2 linked regions of the Ovis aries genome follow. The protein of the gene in region 1 purifies or fractionates together with the protein of each later gene. This does not show direct contact. Links are inferred from orthologs where the notes say so. Each region holds a gene or a part of one and is shown on either strand. Other genes may lie near its edges.

Region 1 (2,359 bases):
AGATGTGGTATGTGAGAGCGAAAATGCCTTTTATTCCATTAGGAGCTTTCTAACAACTGCTATATCAGTTTAAAATGCAAAGAATCAGCACGGGCTGAGAGATCCTCCATTGCTGGTCCTCTGGAACCACTGAAAAGCCTGTACTGGGCATGCCTGTGACCTAGTCCAAAGGCCATTATCTAACTAAAGTGCTCTTCTAAAGCAACTCTATCATAAGGGTCCTGCAGAGGTCTAGGGAAGGTGTTCAGAACTGGAAGCAACTTAGACTTCTTAGCATTTCCAGGAAAACTGTTAGACTCAAGCAAGGCGGAAACTGCTCCAAACAAGAGTTAAAAACTAAGTTTCAGAAATGTGTCAAGGTGGAAATGGAGTGAAAAGCATAAAATGGAGGAGAGAGAAGGGACCCAGTCACCTCTCTCCAATCTTCTTCTGTCTTTAGTAAACCACCCCTGCTTCCCAGAGCCCTGGCGTCAGACCAGGCATACCCTGAAACACAGACCAGTACAAGTGCCAAAGGCAGCCAGGGCTTCCTATGGAAGGAGGAACCAGGATAACAAGACAGGTGATTAACAAGTTATTTTAAAAGATAAATGAAATCTCATAAAGATATAAGAATCCAGGATTCTGAAAATATATAGTAGTTAATGCACAAATAAAAATATTTTGAAGAGACCCTTATTCTTGAGCCTGCTTTAAAAAGGGGAAGTCTACATCACTCTAGCATAATGAGGGCTGTAGAAATACACATTTACATACACACACATACATCACACACACACACACAAATTATAAATCTTCACCCTTGGTTTCTTCACTTCCTCTGACTTGCCCTGGACAGGGATGGACCTGCAGAGCAGGACAGGGCTCACAAGCCCAGCTTCTGCTTGGCCATTGAGGAACGGAGTTGCAGAGTCCCTTCGGCCCAAGACCCTGGGTACTGTCGCATCTTCTGCCACAGGCTCACTTCTTCCCCAGTTGAGTCCATCCAGTCCACCACTTCCCCGTTACTGATCCCTGAGGAAAAACACCAGAGGAGGCTGAACAGAGATCCTACTCCTCAGCCTGCCGAGGAAGATGCGCTATGCATTAAGGGCAGCATCCCATAAAAGACAGTGCGCTATGAAGATGGGCTAATGGGGACAGTGTTCTGGGAACAGCTCCCTGTTGACTCTGCACTGCCATATTTCTCTGCTCCTGAGATTCCATCAAGAGACTTAAAGTTGATAAAATAGGGCTCCAAATGGCACACGGTAGCTCGAGACCTCTTATTCTAAGGCTATTACAGCTAGGGCCATTCTGTTACTGCCAAGTTGACTTATGATGGAAAGGGAGAGGAGGGGAATGTAGGGAAGGGAGGAAGAAAGGAAGAAAGAGGGAGAGAGGAAGAAAGCAGGGAGGAAAGGAGACACAGAGGGTAAGAGGGACGAAGGAAGAAAGAGAGCTGAACACTTTTATTTTCTAGCTGCAGACTCCAGGCTTGAAGTTTCGATCATGCAGGGCCTCATTTCTATTCTCTTGTACATTCATTCATTCAGGAACATTTATCAAGTGGCTGCTGTGTACTAAGTACTCTTCCAGGCTCTGGAGGTACAGTGTGAACAACACAGAAAAAGTTCTGCCTGCAGGCAGCTTATGTTTGAATAGAGAAGATAGAAAATACAGAAGTAAACCAACAAGAGTGAGATAATCAACATAAAGTAAATAAACAGAGTGATTTGTAGTGCCTAGGTCAGCATCTCCCTTAGATGAAGTGGTCTTTGGGCCCCTCTGAGGAGATATTTGAGTCAGGAGCTGAAGGATAGAAAGGAAGCAGCCCTTCCAGACAGAGAGAACACTAATAGCAGAGGTTATAAAGTGGGGAGAAACTTGGTATATTTGGAGGACACAAAGCTAGTCAGCATGTTTAGAGCACAGTGAGCAAGCAGTATTACAGGACAGATAAGAAATGAACAGAGGGTCCAGATCACAGAGGGGCCTCTTGGCATGGTGAGAACTTTGGGTTGTTTCCTAAGTACAGTAGGAGCTCCTGAAGGGTTTTAAGCATGGGACTGACATGAACTGGCTTACATTTGTAAGAACATCACTCTAGATGCTTTGTGTTAAATACTTTGTATGAATTAACAATATACAAGTAATATTCAGTCACAGGAATGCAGACTGTAGCGACAGAAAAGAGTATTCAAGACTAAGCCTTGAGAACCACCAATATTGAAAGTTTGGCTAGAGGATGAGGATGCCCCACAGAAAAGTGTGGTGTCAACAGAAGCTAAGTTATTTCAAGAAAAAGGGAGTGATCAGCTATGTTAAATAGCGTGAAAATTCTAAAATGATGAAAACAAAATTTTGACACAAGCAGTTG
Region 2 (4,291 bases), on another chromosome or scaffold:
CCTGAACCCCAGGCTTTACACGAAGCCTGGCTCAGAAGAGGGCAGGTGGGGGCTCACATACCAGTCCTGCACAGCGTTGAAGGACTCCTCGTTGGTGATGTCGTACATGAGGATGAAGCCCATGGCGCCCCGGTAGTAGGCTGTCGTGATGGTCCGGTACCGCTCTTGCCCCGCTGTGTCCTGGGAAGAAGAGGTGGGGTGTCAGAGAGGAGATACATGGAAGTTCCTCAGCATGGGAATGAACTCTGAGATGGTGGAGGCCAGCCCCCTTGAGGCTTAGAGGAGCAGGGGCTTGCCCAGAGGCACAGTGGGTCAGGAAGAGTGAGTCGGCTGCCTATCCCAGGGAATGTAGTACCAGTGATCCCAAGGTACCTACAGCATCATTCCTTCATTCATTTGACACACAGGGACCTGTGCCACACCCTGTGCTGAGCCCTGAGGACACAGTCATTAACAAAATGGGCCAAAATCACTGCCCTTTTGGAATTGACAGCTCTGTGCAGGAAACAGAGAATCAACCCATGACAAGAAAGAAAATGCATCCTCAGCTCACAGAAATGTATTGTCAGAAAGTAATGAGACAGGAGAAGAAAAAAAAACCAGGCAAGGATGGGCAGTGTGGGTTGGGGGACAATTTAAAAACTTGAAGGATGAGGGAGGGAGTCATACAGGGGTCGGGAGAAGGAAAGTCTAGGCAAATGCCCTAAAGTGGAACTGGGTCTGGTACATTTGAGGAACAATGAAGAGGCTGAGGAGATGGAGGGAGACAGATGAGATGAGGTATCAACAGGGGATGACCAGGCAGGGTCTCCTCAGCCAAGGGAAGGTTGCAGGTGTTACCAAGAGTGAGGTGGGGGCCATGGAAGGACTGAGAGCAGGGAACAACCAGCTCTGGCTTGGGATTTATCAGATCCCTTTAGGACCCAGAGGTGTTGAGGGAGGTGGCCTGAAGACCCTGGTGGAGGAGCCTGCTCTTGGCCCAGGGAATGAGGCTGGGGGGTCAGGATCCCTCTGAAACCTCATCCAGACACTCATGGAGGAACTTGAATATGGGGAAACTGAGGCACTCAGCAAGCGATGCATCTGATGATGTCAGGGGTAGGACAGGACCCAGCATTTACCCCTTCCCCACCCCTGGAGAGCACTGATGGGAGAAACCGGACACTCTCTTCTGTGCCTCTAGCCCCTGGTACACAGTAAGCACCTCATAAATGCCCAGTATGTAATGAGTGAATCTAGACAGGAAAGAAATAGGCAGAGCTGGGGCTGCTGTTCCTGGTGGGGGGAGAGTGATGGAGCCAGAAGGCCCCCCAGCTGGACCCACCCAGATCTGCAGCTTGATCCTCTTATCGTTTCGGTAGATGGTCTTGACCTTGAAGTCGATGCCTACAGTGCTGACAAAGGCAGGCGTGAAGGAGTCGTCTGCATAGCGGAAGAGGAAAGATGTCTTGCCCACGCTGCTGTTTCCGATGATGAGGATTTTGAACATGTAGTCGAAGTTCTGGTCCGAAGATTCCTTCTGCCCATAGCGAGCGTCTGTGGCGGATGCCATCTGCAGGTGTGGGGCGTAGGCGAAGGTGAGGGATCCCCTCCGTCCCCAAACGCCCAGGCTCAGGCTAGAGAGCTCCCAGCGAGAGACAGAGATTACTCTTATCCCATCAGGAGCCCCAGTGCTAACGGCGCGCCCCACCGCAGAGGGCGGGCCGTGACCTTGAAAGGCCTGAGGTTCCAGGGGAGGACCTCAGAGCGAAGGGGATGGAGACACCTTGCAGCCCCCTCCAGCAGGCCTGCACCCCGGACCTGGTTGTAACCTAAGCCCTACAGCTGCGCCAGAAGAGGTGACCAACTGCGGCCGGCCCCGCCCCCCATCAATCATTCATGTTCCTCAGAACTGAGCCTCGCGGGCGCACGTGCACACGCGTGTACGGTACCGCGGGGACGCGTGTCTGCCGTCCTTCTCCCAGACTCCCAGGCTGGGAGAGCTCGAGCTGTGACAGCTATATCACGTGACAGGCACGCGGCGTGCACACGCTCACGTGCACACAGCAGGGCACATACTGGGACAAGCTCGATGCACGAGAAAGAGCCAGACACCTGTCTGCACGCCAACATGTATATACAAATGTGAAAACCCACCGTGCGCAATGCGTCCTCCACCCATGCAGCCCAGTACACGTCACCTACACGGGCACACATCTCTGTGCACATAGGCACACTTGTGCGCGCACACGAGCAGTCCACGCGTCTGCCTCCACATGCCTGTAACACTCACAGTCTTGGGTCGGGATCCCCAAGGTATGCAGGAGCATACCCTGATAAACAAGCAAGGGTACACACAGACCCTCTTGCACAGGCGGGCGCGCACACGAGTGTGCACTCCACGCGCACGCGCACGCAGAGCCTCCCGCGCGCACAGCTTCCCGCAAGGCACTCGCCTCATCTCCCCTCCCCCTCCACCGCAGAGCCGGGGATGGAGGGATGGGGGTGGGGGTGAGGACAGGGCAGGTAGAGGGAGCCGAGGCCCTCCCCCTCCCCAGACTCGCGACCGCAGCATCCTTCTGCCTCATTTAAGGCTGGCCAACTTCGTCCCCTATCCCAAGCAGACCACCAGTCAAATCAAGGTTATATAGGTGCTCGGCGCGGAAGCGCACCTGGAGGCCTGGGAGCTCACCTTGTTCTGCACTGATGCTGTGGCGACCCTAGCGGCGGCGACTTTTTTGGCAGTGGCGGTGACGGGGCCCCCGGTGTGCTGATGTGGGGCTGCGCTGCAGCGGAGGCGGCGGCAGCGGCTGAGGCCCCTGCAGTCCTCGGTGACGTCCTGCAAAGGGCGGGGCGGGGCCTCACATGCAGATACGGCCGTGATGCCATTCTAGGGCGGAGCCACTGATGGAGATACGGTCTACTGTCGCAGGCAGAGCCGGGAGGGGCGGGGCTCTTGCACAGATTGAGGCGAGAACGGGGCGGGGCCCAGAGAGCGCATCCAGTAGCTAGCAGAAGCGGTGCAGGAGGGGAGGAATCGCTTGCTGGCTCCGCCTCTCTACAGTATAAGGGAAGCGGGGCTTCGCAGCGCCTTCTCACTGGCTTAAGTGCTCGAGCGACAGGGTAAGTAACCAGTCAAAGATTGCCAACCCCTCCTCCTGTCCAATGGTGGTTTCCGGGCGATTGAAGGGCCCAGAGGTTGAGGCCTCAACTGAGCCTGAGTCTTCTGGGGGCGTTCCCCTTCCCCGCCCCCACGCACCCCAGGTCTTAGACTCGGGAGGTAGCCGTTCAGTCCAAGGTGCTGTGACCGCTCATTAAACTCCCCCTATTCCCAATTTCAGAAAAGAGGAAGCGAGGTTCGAGAAAGTGCTCTATATCTCTTATTTACAGGGTTCAAAGTAAGTATAAAAGAAGAAATAGCTGAAATAGGGATCAAGATAGACCCTGTCTCATTGCTGATATGTACCCTGGTGGCTCAGACGGTAAAGAATCTGACTGCAATGCGGAAGTCCTGGGTTCGATCCCTGGGTTGGGAAGATCCTCTGGCGAAGAGAATGGCTACCCATTCCATATTCTTGCCTGGATAATTCCATGGACAGAGGAGCCTGGTGGGCTGTATAACAGTTCATGGGGTCGCAAAGAACTGGACACCATTGAGCGACTAACACACTCAAGACCCCTGAAGGGGGTGGGGCTAGTAGATGCTCCACCCTGTTTCTGAGATGAAGAAAGGAGAAATCGGGATCAAGAGAGCCACCCTCCGCCACCAATTGCCGGAAAAGAAGGGGCTGACGGACGCTCCGGGAACCCCTCTCCTTCCTGCGCCCCATTTCCAGAGAAAAATTCAAATGGCGGAAGTAGGGCAGGAAAACAGCCTGTCCCCTAATCTCGCAAAGTCTGCGGTTAAAACAAACAACAACAAAAAACAAACAACAACAACAACCCCCCAAAAGTAGGAAACAGTGAGGTTTAAAGACCCTGCAATAAAGGAGTGGGGTGGGGAAGGAGATGCTGTGCTCCTGCTGGACTCCTGAGCTAAAAGACAGGGATGGAGAGTCCTCCCTCCACCATCCTGGCAAAACTAGACTCAGAGATGGAGGCTCTGGGGTCCAAGATGACCCGTCATCCCCCAACGATCTTGATGTGAAAAAGTCAGAATGGGGGCTGGCGCGGAAGAACGAGACCTCGGCCTCCATTCCAGGGCGCTACCGTCCGCCCAGCTCCGGTCTCCACACCCGGCAGGGGGCGTGTGGCCCCAGGCAAATTCTGATCTCCCTGATTCCTCCTCTGGAGACGAGGGGCGGAGCTGGTC

Evidence for each region. The genes of interacting proteins can lie anywhere in the genome.
Region 2: the proteins of SYTL4 (region 1) and RAB3A purify together in Homo sapiens (affinity purification with mass spectrometry; 3 studies listed by BioGRID and IntAct, counting the BioPlex papers as one, with this or other methods). This does not show direct contact. The link is inferred for Ovis aries from reciprocal best matches to the Homo sapiens genes SYTL4 and RAB3A.

The regions. Positions count from the first base shown.
Region 1 is NC_056080.1:132,458,796-132,461,154, forward strand, and holds part of SYTL4 (synaptotagmin-like protein 4), read right to left. Parts: intron 1,015-2,359; coding exon 866-1,014; 3' UTR 1-865. UniProt on the Homo sapiens protein: Modulates exocytosis of dense-core granules and secretion of hormones in the pancreas and the pituitary. Interacts with vesicles containing negatively charged phospholipids in a Ca(2+)-independent manner.
Region 2 is NC_056058.1:4,780,503-4,784,793, reverse strand, and holds the start of RAB3A (ras-related protein Rab-3A), read right to left. Parts: upstream 2,808-4,291; 5' UTR 2,672-2,807; intron 1,553-2,671; coding exon 1,325-1,552; intron 181-1,324; coding exon 62-180; intron 1-61. UniProt on the Homo sapiens protein: The small GTPases Rab are key regulators of intracellular membrane trafficking, from the formation of transport vesicles to their fusion with membranes.